2 linked regions of the Lonchura striata genome follow. The protein of the gene in region 1 purifies or fractionates together with the protein of each later gene. This does not show direct contact. Links are inferred from orthologs where the notes say so. Each region holds a gene or a part of one and is shown in the gene's direction. Other genes may lie near its edges.

What was found.
Region 2: the proteins of LIMK2 (region 1) and TTC1 purify together in Homo sapiens (affinity purification with mass spectrometry; 3 studies listed by BioGRID and IntAct, counting the BioPlex papers as one, with this or other methods). This does not show direct contact. The link is inferred for Lonchura striata from reciprocal best matches to the Homo sapiens genes LIMK2 and TTC1.

The regions. Positions count from the first base shown.
Region 1 is NC_134620.1:4,576,718-4,585,751, reverse strand, and holds the start of LIMK2 (LIM domain kinase 2), read left to right. Parts: upstream 1-4,696; 5' UTR 4,697-4,743; coding exon 4,744-4,759; intron 4,760-7,244; coding exon 7,245-7,344; intron 7,345-9,034. Other genes in the region: E3 ubiquitin-protein ligase RNF185, read left to right, coding at 737-854, 1,983-2,080. UniProt on the Homo sapiens protein: Serine/threonine-protein kinase that plays an essential role in the regulation of actin filament dynamics. Acts downstream of several Rho family GTPase signal transduction pathways.
Region 2 is NC_134617.1:1,328,101-1,338,158, reverse strand, and holds the start of TTC1 (tetratricopeptide repeat protein 1), read left to right. Parts: upstream 1-6,233; 5' UTR 6,234-6,275; intron 6,276-7,010; 5' UTR 7,011-7,019; coding exon 7,020-7,307; intron 7,308-10,058. Other genes in the region: ADRA1B (alpha-1B adrenergic receptor), read left to right, coding at 1,624-2,126.

The DNA.
Region 1 (9,034 bases):
AGTATCAAACAGCACACTGCTTCTGCAGAGCAGGATTCATCTCAATTCAGAGCACTTATCTTTTGACTTGATGCGGTATTTCAGTCTGGATCGCTTAAGGTCAGTGTTATTGCATTGTAACTTCCTTTATTTCATCCTTTCCTTATATCTTGCATTCCTGCCCCAGGTTATTTTGCCACCTTAATTTGAGTTCCCATGGTAAATTTTTTTGTGGTTTTCCTTCAAATGCTCTATGCATCCCACTGGGAATTTATAATTTCACTGAGTATTTAACTGATGCACATGTATCACAAATATCAGTTTAGGTTATTTTCTTGAGTACCTTTCTTATATGGCTAACAGCTGTTAACACACGATACATTGTTAAGACATTCTAAGTAGAATTCCTCCTGGTGATTTTGATACATTGGCAGATACTACTTTAAGTTGAGAAAGGTTACAGTTGAAAAACACTGTCCTAATTTGTGGCCCTCAAGCAAGAACTGCAGTTGCTAGTTTTCATTTTCTCAAACCTTTGGGTTGCTCGGTGAATTTGCTGCTGTCTGAAACATTTTAACCCAGGAGACCTAGGGGGGGATCTGGACAAAAGTGTGTCAGACTGAAAGTTGCCAGACAGCGTGACCCTCCTTCTGCCATGGCAAAGCCAGCGAGAGGGAATATCTGCTCATCCACAAAATACTCTGAAATAGGCTCTAAGTGAGTCCCTTTTTTGTCTTCTGTTCTTTGTTCTCTGCAGGGATTCCAGGGCTTTGGGTTTGGTGATGGTGGCTTCCAGATGTCGTTTGGAATTGGGGCGTTTCCCTTTGGTATATTCGCAACAGCCTTCAACATAAACGACGGGCGACCTCCTCCAGGTACCACGGATCCTTCTCCTGCCCCATCACAGACAGACATTTTACAAACTCTTAAATAACCTGCTAAATGGCAAAATATTCTGAGCAGTAACCAGTGTTGTCAATAGAACCACTAAATGAGGGCAGAAACACTCTGTACAGAACGTGGTCTGTGGCTGGTATGTTTTGTACACAGACTTATAAAAGAGCAAGTTTGTCACTTCTATATAATTTGCTGAAGGCCCTCCTGGGAGACCAGTGACTGCAGAGAAACAGTGGCACTGGAGACTACTCTCCTCTAATTCAGATGTCTCCTCTGGTACACCAGCAGACTTCTCCTGAAAAATGTGACAAATTGGACTAGACTTTCTAATAATAATAAAAAGGAGTCACTAGGGGTGTATGAAGGAGACCCAGTTTTAAAAACAGCAGGAAAGTACCATTTCCTGAAAGATGAGAAGGAAAAATTTAAACTGGTGCTCTGTACCACCAAATTATAAATGCAAAGATTGTTCATTTTCCAGAAATTTATCTGAGACAGTCATCTGTATTCTACAAGAAGTAACTTTCCAGTGAAATTACTTCACGTTTTTGATTAAGAAAAAACAGTTGGATTATTCCAAGGGGTGACCTTGCTCTCTAACAATGAAGTAATCCCTAGAGAACCTCCTCCCTATCTTCACTGTAGACAGACTGAATCTGTTTTGAACAAGAATGCCTACTGCCCAGGATTTTGTGAACTTATTTTGTGAACTTATTTTGTGAAAGGTTATACCTGGCAAATCTTCCACCATGTCATATGGCACGGGAATTATGAGGAACAAACTCATTCTTCACATCACACCAGCGTTGCCATGGTCCTGTGCTGTCCTTAGGTCAAATTATTTTCCCTGTTAGCTATAGTTCAGTGTCCCCTGAAAATCTGCTGGGGGTGGGACTGAACTAAGGAATCCTGCTTCAAGATACTTGTCTTCCTTCTGATCTGCCCATACAGGCAGCCAGGCTGAGGGTAGAAAGTAGCAACTTTTCTCACCAAGCAAATCCTTTGCATATTTTTCAATGTATGAATATACTATATTCAGAATATACACAATCCGAGAGAAAAGGAAGGAGCTGAACTGTTTGTTTTTTTTACTTCCTGTTTTCCAGCTGTTCCAGGGACTCCTCAATATGTGGATGAGCAGTTCCTTTCCCGCCTCTTCCTGTTTGTGGCACTGGTGATAATGTTCTGGCTGTTGATTGCATAAATCTTTTCCATTATTATATATATTCATGACCAACAAGGCCACTGAAACAGTTACAAACTGCATCCCCATCCCATTTTAAACCTCTTGGTGTCTGGTTCCATAGCTACCTATGGGCTTCAGGAATTGGTGGTACCACAGCACAATGAGGAATCTCACATTTTGCACCAGAGTTGGTAATTAAAACATTGGTTTAAAAATGTATTTCAGCTCAGATATGTTGTACAACAGGTTCCTGCCACAAACCATGGGCCTAGCGTTGAGCTGCACTCCGAAAGGGAGTGCTGCTTTGAAATCCTGTGCCAATCAGTGACACCAGGTCTGTGGGATACACAGTTATCCCAGCGCAGACTGGGCAGGTAAGGAAACTTCTTCAGTGTCACCAGTATCTCCTGCTTTGCAACCACGATGGATCTGCCAGAGCTGCAGATGTTATTTAATGTCTCCATCAACATCTGACCTTCTCCAGGAAATCATCTGCAGCACTGCTGAGACTCTCTGGGGCACAGCACGTGATGCAAACGGAACCAGGCCTGGAGACTGGTTTCTTTTCCGCCTGTTATTTCCTGGTGTGATGGAAAACCCTTCCTGAATGGTTCTGATGGCTGTTAGAAGAAGGGATACATATTTATGCTGCAATTTTTTAAAGCCTAAGCATGCTGGAGCCATCCACTGGAAGATTCTCTGGCTGTGGAGCCAGGTGGGGCTGCTGGACCCAGCCCAGTTCCTCACTGACAAACAGTGTTGTCTTCCCCAGCTCTGTGCAGCACCTGTGGCTGCACCCGTGGATAATCCCCTCACAGCCTCGTCACTGTAGCAACATTTATCTTTCTCAAGGCTTTGAGACTTTCTACAGAAGGTCATGTACTCCAGATAAAATCCTATTACAGATCTGAGATCAGCTTGTTTGGGGAGAGGAACAAAAGGCATCTTTACATGAGTTTTGAGGTAAAACTTGTCATACTGTAAAATTATACAGGAGGAGACATGAGATCCTGCCTTTGCCAGCACATGCTCAGTAGGGAACATTTGGAAGACCTTCTCTCTGCAGATGCACGCAGACCTTCTCCCGTGCCACAGCAGAACTACAGCGCAAGAGTCTCTGCAGCTAAAATCTACCAAAGATTTTAATTTGAAGTGCTGGAGGAGACCACAACCATTAATGTGCTGAGGGGATATTTCAGAAGGTGAGCAATCTGCAGCCGCTTTGGGATCCTGTTGGGTATCCAGCTTTAAAGAGTACTCCTGATGTATTTGTGTAGATTCCTTCAAAACAGGTATGAGAAAGTCCCTAGCAAGATGAACAGTTCATATTTCTCTGACTAGGCAATTCCATTTTTTTTCCTCTTACTGTCTATAGATTTTTTTGATTCCGGCCACTCATAGTCATAATGATTTCCTGCAAGATGAATGTTGTGACTTCCCTGGCAGTAGACAGAAAAACTGAAAAGCAAATCAATTAATAGAAACTTCATTTCAATATCTTGGGATTTTTTTAGCATATGGAAGTGTTTCCTGGGCAGGACACCTTTAATTAATTGTTATAGAAGTTTATTTATGTAATTATAAACTGTTTCCTTTTAGTGTCAAGGCAGAGTATGACTGAAGTTTAACTTGCCTACCTCCAAAATTCCATCTGGCAAGTAGAATGTTGCAAAGCTTCTGCAGTGTTTTGTCACGTCAGATTTATACCTGACTTAATGATAATCTGATAGAATATATTGCTCAACTATTTATAGTTGAGGTGGTGCTTCAGCTTTTGTTGTGTGACACTTCTGAGTAGCTGAACTTTGGCATAGGGTTCTTCTCAAGTGTGTAACTTGGTAACTGGGGCCCTTCCCAGGAGGAAAGGCTGTTTTGTTTGGTTGTCCTACAATGTCGCAGCTTTGGCTTCCTCTCCTGCGCAGTCAGCACCACCTGCTGATGGGAAGGGAAGGTTTGTGTGACAGTAAGAGATGGATTCCTTCTCCTTTTGTACGGAGAAACTCGATGCTGAGAGGTTATGCAGGAAGGAGAAGCCTTTATCCCGTAAAGAGGATAGAGAAGTGACTGCAATAGATTCAAGAGGTACTGAAATATATTTAATTAATACATTTTAAAAACCAGAATTTTAATGGATTGGGGATGGGGAATTTCCATCTAGGAGTGAGAGAGATAATGGATTTAGAGAAGGCTGCAGAAGCATGACCGAGAGCTCTTATTTTCCGGCAATTCAAGGATGAAATAGTCTAAAAGTGTTAACGCTTGGTTCCCCCTTTCCCTGGTGTGCTTTTGTATGTACCCCTTCCCGTAACCTGACCGCACACGGCCCGGACGGCTCGGTTAGTGCGTTACCGTTGCTCCTCACTAATTTTCACTGTTGTGAAAGTGATTTAGAATTAAAAAATGGTTTTACATTGAGCGGAGTGCGCCGCCGTTCCTTTGCGCTGCCTCGGGGGCGGGAGCGGGGCCGCGCCCGCCGGGCACGTGCGGGGCGGGGCTGCGGGCGGGCGGCGCCGCCATTGGCCGCCGGCGCGGAAAGGGCGGGGCGGGCGGGGCGGGGCAGCGCGGGGATTGGCCGGGGCGCGGAGAGGGCGCCGCCGATTGGTCGGGGGCGGGCGCGGCGCCGCGCAGAGGCGGGCCCAGGTGCGGCGGCGGCCGCTGGCGTCGGGCGCGGCGGGCGCGGGATGGAGGCGCTGCCAGGTGAGCTCGGGCCGGGCCGGCCGCGCCTCCGCGGGAGGAGCCGCGCTCCGCCGCCGCGGGGCGGCCGCCGCTGCATCGGCGGGGGCGCGGGGCTCGACGGGGCCGCTGCCTCCGGAGCCGGCCGGACGTCAGCCCTGGCTGGGGAGCGTTCTGGGGCCGGCCCGCGGCTCCCTCCGGCCGGTGGCACCGCCGGTTCCCGGGGGTTCCCGGCGGGTCTCCGGGGCACTGAGATCCGCAGGACGGCCGTGGGAGACGCGGCGCGTCCCCCCCGGGGCGGCCGGAGCCGGCCGGGTCGTGCAGCGCCGGTGCCGCGGGGCCGCCGGTGCCGCGGGGCCGCCGGTGCCGCGGGGCCGCCGGTGCCGCGGGGCCGCCGGTGCCGCGGGGCCGCCGGTGCCGCGGGGCCGCCGGTGCCGCTCAGCCCGTCCCCGTTGTCCCGCTCGGTGTCCGCCGGGGCCACGGCGGCTGCTCCTCGCTGGCCGTCTCTGACACATTCCTCCCGTCTGGGAAACTCGACAGACCTGTTACATGGATTATGTCCGTTTGCGTTTCCTTCGCACTGTTTCCTGCTCTGTTTTCTTCATTTCCGTCGTTTCTCCTGCATACTGAAGCAATTTCTGTTGGATTGAGGACTGTTCGTTTCCCTTTGTGAGCTAATCAGCCTTCCTGGGTACACTTAAAGAGATGTAGCACTGCAGCTGAGAGTAGGTGTAGTTTCTTCGTGGAGTTCCGAAGCCGATGGGTCAGATTCTGTAAGATGGTCGGGGAATAATTTGTTGCTTCTGGTCAGCTATGGTGTAATAGTTGATCTTTAAATATCTTTAGTAGGATCCACAGACAGTTTTTACACGTGTGTGTTGTGCTGGTGACACTGAATGGGAGGGGATGGAGCTGCAGAATGTTTGGTTTGCAGGTAGTTTTGGCCTGCAGCTATTTCAGAAATTCAGCTGACTTCCAGGGCTTGCCCTGCTTGGAGAGGAGAGCGTTGGCTGCCTGTGCATGGAGGCACAGGCACACGGAGCTTTGCCTTTTATTCCCAAGCCCGTTTGGTGCACTGAAAAGCCATTTCCTTTATGGGACAACATGGATAGGATCAGGTTTTTCCAAGGTTCTCCCAGCCTTTACTCTACTGTGCAGGTGTGAGCTCAGGTGCAGTTCTTGGTGTTCTGGATTAGCAGAAGGGCACAGGGGCAGGTGATCCAGGTGTGGTGCTGATGCACACTTAGGGACTGAAGTAGCAGTCACATTTGAAGGAACCCTTTGAGCCTTACATCTTTATGGAGACCTTCCTGGGTACTGCTGCTCTGCTGGTGATAGTGGTGCTTGTAGCTGAGCAGCAAATGTTTTTTTTCCCTGAAATAGCTATTTATGTAAAAAGTGCAAGATCTTCACCCTAGTTAATTTTAAACATTGTCATTGACCTAGACGGTGGGGTAAAGGTGCATGGAAAGTTGATGGCTTCTGTTTTGTGTAGCTTCAGGGAATTTAACAGTGGTATGAACTTGCCTAAGCAACTACCAAGTTGTACCATTCTTTGGAAAAGGGAAGTCCGTGGTTTGTGGTTTGCTTTTCTAAGTGCACCTTTTTCTTTAATGCTGCCTTGCTACAAGGAAACTGTTAGTAGCAGGAAGAAACAGGTTTGGGATCTTTTCAGCTCTCTGACACATTTCTTGTGCCATCCTGTGCTGAACTAAGATTCTTGACTCTTTAATATGCCTGCACTGCCCTTGGGATTTTGGATACCATTTATCTGTGTGCCAAATGTTCTTTGTGCACAAGCTTTCATTCTGTTTTTCTAGCTTGCTTGCATCTAAGTAACCAGCTCTCTCTGGGGCTTTCTGGCAGTTCTAGCAAAAACTATTATAGCTCTATTATAACTTTTATAAGTATTTTCTGAAAGGGCAATAGGCCAGTAGCATAACTCCCCCTTTCTAAGTCTGATGGGTAGTCTGATGTTGGCTGTACAGTCTCTATGGGATTATTCATTCAAGAGTGTAATTCCTTCCTGGTAGTCTACTTGTTCTCTACTGAAAGAAGTTTGTCTTTCCTTTCTTTCAGTTCTGGGAAATCCAGTTAATTCTACAAATGCGAGCAAATGTTTTGTGCTGAGTCAGTGGTGTGGGGGAAGCAGTAGCGTGTCTTCCTGGCCTAGCATGGTTCTCTGTTGGAATTGTTGTACTAGACCAGTGTTGCCTTCCTGAAATCTCTGCTCTGACAGAGCTGTAACTGAGCTGTTTTATGTGAAAAGTCATAGTCTTCTTTTCTGCAGAATGTGAAGAAAGAGATGTCATGTCTGGGGAAAAAAATATACAAGATATCAGAGTTTGATTTGGGAGTTCCCACTCTGGGGTTATAGACTTCCTGCAGCTTTCCATGTGGGAAGGCTTTCCTGTCAGTTACTTAAGATTGTTCTTTATGAAAGATGTACCAATCTTTGTTTTCTCTGGTGTAAACTGGTTGCTGTTTGTCCCCTTATTGCTGCGTGCAGGTGAAGAAGTCTGGAGATGCCTGGGATGTGGGGACAGCATTGCTGCTGGGCAGCGCCTCCACAAGACTGTCAATGAAGCTTGGCACATCTCCTGTTTCCGGTAGGTGAAGCTTCAGCCTTTAAACCCTCCTTGTGTTGTTCCACTGCCTGGGAGCTGGTGGTGAAGTACCAGCATGAGCTGGGAATTCCTACAGTGATCTCTGTGCCTGACCTGTTCCGAGCTCGTTTGTGCTGTACCCCAGGGACAGCATCCAGTCCTGAGAGCAGCTGACACTGCCTGGCAGCACGGCTGCGCTGACGCAAACGGGATACAGATAAAGTGCAAATAAAAGCTCTGATTTACTGGTGGTGGCAGAAGCCATGGCTTACATGTTTGTCTTCTGCAGCATTCCAAAGTAGTGCCCAGGCAATTTGCACAGCCTGTTACTTTTTCATTGTGTGGTAGGTGCAAGGGTGTTATCAGGGTGCTGATAGAGAGGAGGGAAGAGACAGAGATCTTGCCTTTTGCTTTCTCTCCTTTGCAGACTCTTAAGACAAATTTATGAAATCTGTTAGATAATGTTGCTGTCTGCAAGGACAAAAAGGAATATCTGCTGTGCTTTTTCGTGGTGGTAGGAGTAATACCATTTTGGTTTTCCATGAATATTCAGTCCAGTTTTCATGCTCCAGAATCACATTTCTGAAGGGGTCTGTATTTTTGAAAGAGGTTGAGTACCTCCAGCTTCTACTGGCTTCTCTGTTGGTTTGAATATGGGGAGGCTAATGTTTCGTTATTGTTAAAGAAAGTGGGGAGAAAAGGAAGCCAAAGTGTGGCTTTGGAGGAATGTTTTTTGTGCCAAAATAAGCATCTATTGTCCTCGTTTAAAGAACAGAAAAAAAAAGAAGCCAACAAAATACCCCAACTTTGTTGAAGGTTGATTGTGGTTATTGGTATATTTAAAAAAAATAAAGCATCTCATGCTGCCAAAGCAATGCAGGCTCAGTTCACTCAGAAAATGCTGTTTTAGTGACACATTAATAATCACAATAACATTTGATTTCATTACAAGTCCCAGTATTTCGGATTTCTGTTGGTTTTAGTGTTCATGTTTAGCCATAATGAAGCAGCTTGTCTTAATCCTGGTTTTCTCTTTTCCCTGAAGGATGAGTATCCTGCTGAGCTTCCCTAGATTCTGCCAGTAGCCAAACCCCAAGCTGTGTGTGCTGGGAAATCTGTCCCTCTTGCCATTGAATGTATTTCTCTTGTGGGTCTTGATTTGTAAATGTTGTGGTACTTCTTGCTGTTGGAGCTGTTGAGGTAAGGAACAGCTGAGCTGGAGGCAAATCCTGCCTTTGGGACACTTCACAGAGGATTTGTTTTCATAGGTTATAGTGTATAATGGAGGTTTGTTTGTTGCTTCTGGGCTGGTTTGTTTGATGCAAGCGATGACACCAACCTTTCTCTGAGCAGTGTAGTCACTTTTTGTATTTGCTGATGCACTTCTTTTGCTCTGTGCTTTTGGTGAGCTCCAGCACCCAGCGAGGCTGCTGTGCTCAGTGAACAGTTGGAACCTGCAGGAAAGGAAGCTGCCCTCCCCTTTTTCCTAGTTCCAGGGTAGGACTGTACATGAAAACAAGTTTCCAGTTTACACTGTGCTCCTCCTTTTCTTCTGCTGTCCCTAAGCCATGCTGAGCAGCAGTCTTATGCCTGATATCCCAAAGCCAAACTTTAAAAAGCCTCTACGGGTAGGAGGCTTTGGCAGTTGGTAGCTGTGAGTTCCGGCAGCTCTTGTGGAGTGTTTTTTGCAGTC
Region 2 (10,058 bases), on another chromosome or scaffold:
GCTCTGTAATTCCTGCAGCATCCATCAGGACAGAGGCAGGACCTGCAGGACCTGCAGGATCTGCAGCAGCTGCAGAGAAAAAGCTCTGGCCAAACCCTACAGATCATTGCCAGCAGCACGGCCCTGAGGGACAGGGGCTCACCCTGCAGGAGTCCTGTAAAACCCTAAAGTGCAGAGTCGTGAGGAAATCCCTTTAAACTCTCCATTTAACCCTGAGCTCCTCTGCTCCATGGCAGAGCCAGCCCTGGCACCATTCCCAAACTCTGCCAGGATGAAATCTGGGATTCTGCCTGCACAGGACCCTCCGTGCAGAGAGTGCAGCCCAGCCCTGGCACCATTCCCAAACTCTGCCAGATGAAATCTGGGATTCTGCCTGCACAGGACCCTTCATGCAGAGAGTGCAGCCCAGCCCTGGCACCATTCCCAAACTCTGCCAGATGAAATCTGGGATCTGGCTGCACAGGACCCTCCGTGCAGGGCGTGCAGCCCAGCCCTGGCCCCACACACGCTGTGCTGGCTGTGCTGGCACCCCAGAGCTGTTACCCAGGAGCAGAGGAAGTGCTCTTGCATAGTTTTGAGGCCCCAGGCATGACCTCTGCGTTGCTGTGAGATGGGAACGGTGCCCAGAATCACATCCCGCCCCTCCTGACAGCCACCACTGACTCAGCTGCTTTCACAGCCCAGCAAATCCGAAACCACACCAGAGGAAAAGGTTCCTTCCCAGCCAGACTGGGCTGACAGCTTCCATTTGAAACACTCTGCAAACCTAACTCCAGTTCTTGATAAAAGAATTCTCTCTTTGGTCACAGAGTTGGATCCCCACTCCTTGGTCACAGAGGTGTTTTCCCAGATGGATAACAGATCCAGCTCTGCTTGCCATAAAAATCTCATACACTCTTTTCTCCAGCCCCATTTGCTAAATTTAGCTGATCAATTACCACTGAAAGCACAGGAAGTGGATGCCCCAGTGTGAGTTTTTCATTTGGGCAGCCTCCTTAGGGAAATAGTTTGGTTGTGAAGGGAAGGGGAAGTATTCACAGAATGACCTCTTGGTTTGGGTCACACCATTTTTGTGAATGCCTGAGATGTGGGAAGTTCCCCAATTAACTTCAGGTTTCGGGAGGTTTGTACTCTCACAGTAATCTGGGTAAATGGAGGGGCATTCAGGAGCTGCCAGAGGATGTATTAGAAGTTTTAAGGTGTCTCTGTAAATGCTCTTTTTGGGGGTTCTGGGAACACTTTTCTTTAAAAATGACCTTTGAAAGCTCTTTGAGGAAGGCACAGCCTTACTCCTTGTGTTCCTCGTGCAACAGCCTGAACAAGGGAGATTTGATCTGTCCCTGGGATCAGATGTTCCTGCAGTAGGTGTGGGCCTAGAACCAAAATGACTGCTTCTTATTTTTTAATCCTTCATCAGTTATTTGCTCCTTCAGCCTTCTGATGGGAAACATTTCCTTATTAGCTTTAAAAATAACATTTTAGTACCAGAAGACCAACACTGAAAGCAACATGCATAAAAGTTTTAAGACACAGATTGTAACAGTGATCTGATGAACGTGTTCCCTTCCTAAAGGCAGACAAGTCCCTTATCTCAGATATTCTCTGCTTGTTTTCCCTGGACAGGATCCCTGTTTTCGGCTCTGAAGCCCCCTGAAACGATCTTCAAGGTGATTTTTTGGCTTGGCTACTTCAACAGTTGCTTGAATCCCATCATCTACCCCTGCTCCAGCAAGGAGTTCAAGAGGGCTTTCATCCAGATCCTGAGATGCCAGTGCCACCGGCGCAAGCAGCTGGGCTGGTGGCCCTACAGCTACAGAAACTGGAACCGCTGCTCCCTGGAACACGCCCGGAGGGATTCCCTGGAAGACAGCGGCAGCTTCCTGAGCGGCAGCCAGAGGACTTTATCCTCGGCATCGCCCAGCCCCGGCTACGTGAGCAGGATCAGCCAGCCGCAGCTGGAGCTGTGCACGCTGCACGAGTGCAGGAACTGCAGCTCCCTGCTCAGCCCGGCCCGGGAGGGCGGCGGGCAGCAGGGCCACTGCCAGCTCTTCACCTTCCAGCTCCTGCCCGAGCGCAACGGGCACGGCCCCCGCGGCTCGGGCCACGAGCCCCCGGGCACGCCCTGAGCGGCAGCGCTGCCCGCGGGCGAGCCCCGCTGAACGGGCGGCTCCGAGCGCCCCGTGCCCGCCGGACACCGCCCTGCACCGCGCCAGCCCCGCGGGAGCGCACGGAGCTCCTCCGGGAGCTCGGGAAGGGAGCAGGAGGGACGGGGGCTCCATGGCGCAGCAGTGCCCAGGGCAGGGACTGACCGCCCGTGCTCCCCGCGATTCCCGGAGAAGCTGCGGGAGCGGGAGCAGAGGGCAGCGAGGGTCCTGCACACGCCCTGCGAGGGGCGCACGGACCCCGCAGGTGTCCTGGGAGAGCTGGACAGACACACACACCTGCAGGGACACAGGGTGGCATGGGGTGGGCAGGGGTGGGGGTGCCCAGCTGTGCCAGGGATGGATGGATGGATGGATGGATGGATGGATGGATGGATGGATGGATGGATGGATGGATGGATGGATGGATGGTGGATGGATGGATGGATGGATGGATGGATGGATGGATGGATGGAGCAATGAGGAATGCACCGAGGTCATTGCTCTCCAGGTTGTCCCTGGCTCTGCCCATAATTCCCAATTGTTCCATACATCGCTGTACACTCGCACTTTAGAGATGGAAAACAATGATTAAAGTAATTTCTCAACAATTGAAACACTTACTCCTGTTATTGTAGGGCTGGAATTCAGCCACGATTCCTCCTCAGGATTCTCACTACAAAATAAAATACTCATGGCCAATGGATTTGCCATTGTGGCTCGTGGGACACTGTTGCTTCTCTCATCACCAACACACATAATTCTTCCATCAGGAATTAGTTACAGGAGTTCCATCACCAGGATCTCTTTGTCAGTTTGAAAATTGTGGAAAAACACATGGATCTGAAGGAAGGACTACAAAGATTACAGAGGACAAAGTCCGATATGCCATTTTAAAATATGGAACTTTAGCAAGGCCACCTGACTTGTCCAGATGAGATCTCTTCTGAATACCTTCATTTTTCCCACTGGAATCTTTTACAACCTCCACCAGGCAAAGCCAGACATAGGAGGCTGTACAAATCACCCTCTTCCTTATGTTAGTCCTTCTTCTGATGCAATGTTTTCCTTTAAAGGAAAAGCTATTTGGGCCAGAGCACAATCATGTGGGACAAACCCATTTTTTATTACAGCCAAAATGAATTTGCCAAGCAGAACTTGCAGTGGCAGTGGCACGTGGTGGTATCTTTTTTATGCTCATTCACAAACTTTCTGATGAATCCATTCTGTGGGCAAACAGATTTGCCTCTCTAAATGAATCGCTGCAATTTAGCACCAAAGGTGTTCATAAAACACTGAATTTCCCCAGGTTAAGCTGCCATGTGTAGCTTCATCCCTAAGGAGGGGCTGCTCCAGAGCCACTCAGTGGAGAGGCACAGCTGGAATGGCTCGGGGAGCTTTGTCACAGCACAGCTGTACAGAAATTAAACCCATTAGGCTTCAGTGCACTCAGCTCTCAATGTGTTGCTTATTTGTGAGAAGAGTTATGCTAAAACCAATCCAGCTGAATGAGGCTGGAGCTGGAGAGCATCCTGCATGCTTTGCTCTTTGGAAGTGCAGCTTCCCATTATCTTTACAAATGTGGCGTGGAGAGGAGAGGACATTGGTATTACAAAGTACAGTTCCAGTCTGGAAAATGTCAAAATAATAACTTTCTATTCAGCAGCTGAGCTCTGTGCTCTGGATTTGTGTGCTTGACTTTCACCTCAGAAAAATGAGGAGAAAATTGCTTGGCACAGGAGATGATCACAGCAATTATGGGATGGAATTATTGGTGTGCTCACACCCGGTGTTCCTTATCCCACACACTGACCAGCTCATCCCCCTGGGAACGCTCTGGATTCTGGCTTGACTCACTCCACAGGAGAGTTACTCACCTTCTCCCCAGCTGCTCTCTGGCTCCCACATTCCAAAGGGCAGGACACAGAGCTCAGGGCTGGAGCATCACACAAACACCACCTGCACCTGGGGAGGCAGAAAGAAACACCTGACAGCACACGCCATGCTGGGTTTATGTCGGTGGAAGCCTGAAATGTTTGCACCCACTCTGATTTTTTGGGGACTGAAAAGTTGCAGCTCCACCATCAGATTTAATGATCCCGGGACAACAGGTTTGCCTGCTTGGGTTGGAACTAAACTGAGGGGATAAATCAAGTGTCCCTGGGGAGAAAACAGGGCTCTGACAGGGACAGCTCCCCCTGCACCCCTCTACTCTCCTGCCTACTTAAAGCAGAAAATTACATTTCATTTTTACTCAGTTGTGAGCTATGACCTGGCTTTTTCCCAGAGTAGCCAAAATTCCACTGCCACACAAGTGGAAGGAGACAGGGAAAGGAAGTCTGGGACTGTTACTGGGAATCTCCTACAACAAAACACATTGAGCTGTGAAGAACATGCTCCCTGTCTAGCAACTCCCATAATCTTTACAGCATTCCAGCCAAGACATAGAGAAAAAGAGAATGGATATTCAAAATTCATAAGAATCCATCACTGTTTCTCTAATAAGTCAGCCTAAAAAGCGGATGTAGTAAAATTTTAATTTATAGCTGTGATTAAAAAGCTTTTAATTGCCTATTTCACAATTTCCTTTCAAAACGTTCTTTGGGAAGCACAATCATTCGATTCCACTGAGACTTGTGTGCAAATGTTTAATTCTGGTGAAGAACCTGAACTTTCTGTGACCTCCAGAAAACATCAATTATTTTTCCCTTTGCTTGATTTGTTGAGCTTTGGTTTCTTCACTGCGAAGATCAAAAAAAGCTGTCCAGAGAAGTAAATGTAACGTGTGGCCCGGAGCCTGAGGTAGTTGTGCAACATTTGTCCCCTGTCCTGGGCGGCTGAGAGTCCAGCCCTGCTCTGCTGGACGCGGGGAGCTCCAGCCCTGCTGGCACCAAACGGGACCAGTTTGGCACGGAAAGGAGCGGGGACCTGGCTTGGAAAATCCAACATCGCCACCTATGGGGTTTCTGTGGCGGGGAGAGGCACAAATCCCCCGATCCGCTGGATTCCCTGGGTTTTACACGACACTAATCCGGCCTAGGGCAGCGGGGGAGTTGGATACCCTGCGGTCAGTAATTGTAATAAATAATGAGAGGGTGCTTTCCAGATCGCTGGGTTTTATCAACTCGAATTGCACCTGGCTCACGGGCATCGTGTTGAGTCTTCTGCTGCAGGCAGCAGGATTTAGGAATTTCTAGAGAACAAGTCAAGTGCAAAACCTCACGAGTCTGTGGCTGTTTGCATCCACAATGATCTGTGTTCCATCCCCCTGGCACAGGTCAAGCCTCCTTCTGGACTCAGATTTGGAATATTTCAACACTTTAATGTTGTATGAAACCAGAGTTGGGGTGTGAGGCTGAGCAAGAGGAGCGTCATCCCAAAGTTCCAGGGGAAAACCCGAATATTCCTGAGCTGTATGAACATGAAGTATTCATGGGGAGAAGCAGGTCCATGGGGTTGGACAGGGCCAAGAGCCGGGGCTGGATCAGGGACCAGCGCAGGCTGGGGATGCACAGGTGGAGAGGGAGCGCTGGACACGGGAACAGGAACCCCCAGCCCCTGGGCTGATCCCCCAGCGCGGGCAGCAGGGAGGGTTTGGATCGTGCCCCTCAGGTGTGAGCCCACCTGCCGGCCCGAGCAGGGGATGCAGCAGCTCTGCTGGGAGGAAGGGCTGGCACCGCTGGGAGCGCTCACCTGGGCAGGAGAGCCTTTGGGGCGCCCTCAGCGTGGCCTCACAGTGCCTGAAGGAGCTGCAGGAGTCATGGAGAGAGAGGATTTACACCAGTGTGGCCCTGGGGAGAAAGAGGCCACGGGCAGAATGAGGCATCTGCCTCACCTGCCCTCACCTGCCCTCACCTGCCCTCACTGCCCTCACCTGCCCTCACCTGGTCTCACTGCCCTCACCTGCACTCACGCAGTCTTGCCTGTTCTCAGCTGCCCTCCTCTGCCTCCAGCTGCCTTCCCCTGCCCTCCCTCACCTGTTCTCACCTGCGCTCCCTGCCCTCACATCAGAGAACTACAGTCCCCGGCATGCCCCGCGCGCGCCCCCTGGCTCACTGGCTGCCGCTGCCGGAAGCGGCGCTGCCGCGCCGGGGGCGTGGCGGAAGCCGGAAGCCGGAAGTGCAGCTGGCGCAGGTGAGTGCGGGCCCGGGGCCCGGGGGAGCCGGGGGCGATGGCCCCGATCTGCTCTGGCCCCGGTCTGCACCGTCCCCTCCGCTCCAGGCCCTGCGAGCCGGGCACGGCGCCCCGGGGGTCGTGGTGGGGCTGGAGGGGCCGCGCCGGGTGAGCCGTGCCGGGAGCGGCGCGTGGGCCGGGCCCGCGGGGCTGTGCCGGGCTGGCCCCGGGAGCTGAGCCCGGCAGTTCCCGCGCTCACGGGCGCAGTGTCCCGGCCCCGTGTCTCTGCAGGGCCCCGAGAGATCCGAGCTTCCTTTAGGGATCCCTTAAGGATCTGATATCTGAGTTTCCCTTAGGGATGTCAAGAGCACTTTGGAGCACTTTAAGGATTTTTAAATGTGGATAAGAGAAAGTAGATTATTAGCCACATATGGATGTGTATAAATATACAAGGGAGGGGGCAGAGCAGGGCCAGGCTCTGTTCCTGGGCCAGCAGCTGCCCTGCCCGGGAGGCAGAACTCCTGCCCCGGGCAGTGCCAGCCCTGGGCAGAGCCCAGAGAGGGGCTGGGGTCTCCTCCCAGGGGTGTTCAGAGCTGCCTGGACACACTCCTGTGCCCTGTGCTTGGGAATGCAGGAGGTGGCCCCACTGCTCCCCTCCAGCCTCCCCCCCAGGGTGCTGGGATTTGTTTGCTGATGGGTCTATTAATGCTGATCATTGCGTGTCACTCCTTTCTCATCTCCACAACCCCCTCCCAGGAGTCCAGCATGGAAGCATTTAAAGATGCAAGCCCACCTGAGGAGTCACTGAATCACCTGAAGCTGTCAGATCAGAAGGCTCCAGAGCCTGGCCCCAGCGATGCCCAGCAGCCCCAGAGCCAGGATCCCACAGAGGAGTGTTTCCATGACTGCCACGACTCCTTTGAGGCCAAAGGAGCTGTGCTGGATGCTGAAGGGAACGTTCAGGATGACGGGAGTAGCTGCAGGAAGCAGACAGAGCTAGATGAAGAATACTTGCTAGAACTAGAGAAAGATATGCCAGAGGAGGAGAAACAGGTAATGCAGAGCACAGTGCTGGTGTGCAATGATCTGTGTGCAGTGCAGGTGTGAGATGATCTGTGTGCAGTGATCTGTGTGCAGGTGTGCAATGATCTGTGTGCAGTCAGTGCAGGTGTGAGATACTCTGTGCAGGTGTGCAGTGATCTGTGTGCAATGATCTGTGTGCAGTGATTTGTGTGCAGTGCAGGTGTGAGATGATTTGTGTGCAGGTGTGCAGTGATCTGTGTGCAGTCAGTGCTTGGAGAGGTCTGGGGCTGACACAGAGGCACCTCTAAAGCCCTTGAGTGTCTGGTTTTACTGTTCTAAATTCCCTCTTTCCTTGCTGCTCTTTCTCCTCGCATTCCAGGGCAGATTCTGTGTGCCTTGAGCAGTGGGTGAGGTGGCTGTGGCTCAGAGATTCCAGCCACAAAACCCTCCCTGTTCCTGCTGGGAAACTCTCCCTCTTCCTGTCTGTGCATCCTTTGCTTTCCCCTGAGTGCCTGCAAGGTGCTTCTCCAAAACCCAGCAGATTTCAGGATGGTTTCCCTGAAATGTTGCTTGTGGGAATCCAGAGAGTTGGGATTCAATTTAAATAGAGCCCTGTGGATTATTTGGGCTTTAATCAAACACAAGCACATTAAATGTGTGGGATTGTTTGCTTTCACTGTTGTCACATTGGACAAACTCCTCCTGCAGCAGGGAAGAGACAAATGCAGTTTTTCACCTGTAGAACCAATCTTTGTGTGAATATAGAAGTTCCTTGAGGTGGAAAAGCAATACTGGGGAAGGACAACATGAGGTAGAGTCTCCTTGGAGTAGGAGTGACACTAAAAGTACTTCTGGTCTCTGCTGGAGCTGGTGAGAATCCCTTTGGATCTCTGTGTCTCAGTTTGGGCTCTTAAGTGGGCAGAATGATACTGCCAGTTGTGATTCAATAGTGAAGGACAGGGACTGCCAATGTCAGGAGGTGTTCTGGTGCATCCTTTGGAGGATTTTAGTGCAAGCCCCTGCCCAGGGCCAGGGGGATCTCTGGCACAGCCCCTCTGGCTCCCTGTGCTGCTGTTTAATTATCCTGGAAACTTCTGTTAAGTTAGAATTTCCTTTACTGCAGAGCCCTGAGCATCCTGGACTCCCTCTGAGAAGTCAGTCTTGTTGTTGCTGGTGTAGGAAGGAGTTTGTTTGATTTGGGGGTTTTTGCTCAGAACAGGGCATTCTCCAAATGCGTCTCTCAGGTGCTGAGCAGAGGGCAAAATCCTTCCTTGACCTCACACACAAAAATCATTTGATTGCCCTTGGGTTTTTTCCAGTCTGAGTGAACAGTCCCTTTTTTTCTCCTTGTGTTTATTTGTGTCCAATGAGGAGCACTGCCATCATGAGTCACACTGGGGCTGCTGCACCAGCCTGGGACTTGAGAGCTTTAGAGAAAAACTGCTGAAAACTGGGGGGAAATTGTTCTGGAACTGAACTCTGAAAAGAGCAGCAAGCCTGGCAATTGGCTGTGTTCATTTTCCTGCTGCTCTTGGTTTGGTGTATTTTTAGATAATCATCTCATTTTGCACATGGATCTTTGCCTGCTGTCAAATGACCAAAATAATTGGGAATGTTGGATCTTGGCACTCAGCTTTGTGGAACTCCACTGAAAGGGGCTATGGGAGTGCAAAACAGCAACTGCCTCAAAGTGGGAAGGTTTCCTCAGAGAAAGGCTGGAGGCAGCTGCAGCTCTCATCTTTCTGCAGGTTTATTTCCAGTGGTGTTGAGCAATTCTGCCCTTCAGAGTGGTTTGTGATTTCAGCTACCCAAACGGAGGGATTCTGTCTCTCACCAGCACCACAAGTAGTGCATCAGCAGTTTTTTATGTTCCACAGAGAGGTTTCTGAATTTTGCAGGTTTTCAAATGTAGTTTTTTTCCCCTAGCTGCAGAACTCTGAATGCAGAGCAGAACCAGGAGCTCAGACAGTTGGGACAGCCCCTGGTGTGGCCCCTTCCATGATCTGCCCCTGGACAGGTCACTCTTCAATTGCTGCTCCAACTCTACTCCTTGTACTTGCTACTGATGGCCATTAATTTATTATTCAAAGTGAAACATTCTGTATATTCTGATCATAAAAGATTCTGTTAAATCCTGCAGCTCTTAAGGAAAAGTCCTGCAGTCCCAGTCTGAAAACAGTGCTGTACATTCATTTACTCAGAACTTTTAAAACCTTTTAAGCCTTCTTCCAGTGACTCAAAAGGGTTGGTTTTTTGGGTTTGTTTGTTTGTTTTTTGTTTTTTGTTTTTTTTTTTTAGGAGGGCAGTGTGGGTTTTTTTTCTTGATTTTTTCTTGCAGCTGCAGCAAATGGGACAGAAACACTCAGAAGTGTTTTTTGGCTGCTGAGGTGGGGAGCAGGCTCTCAGCAGTCCTGGCTGGGTCCTTGTGGGCCTGTGCTGGCACAACCTCAGCGGAGTGGAGCACTGAGGGTGGGGGTTCACAGGGAAATCAAGCTGGGATTTTAGATCCAGGGCAGTGCTGGTTAAAGCAGACATCAAACAGCAGCCTGGTGCTGGCACCTGGGGAGATGGATTTGATTTGGCTGCTTGTCTAAATCACAAAAACTCCCCAGGGACTGGTGCTGCAGCAGCAGCCATAAACTGTGGGCTCAGGGCACAAGGAGAGCTGGATGTGAGCCCTGCTCCAGTCAGATTTATGGAGCTCCACCTCCTTGGGTTGGGGTTTTTGTTACCAAAACCCACTGCTGTGTTCAGCAGCTGGAATAAACAGGCTCTGTGGAG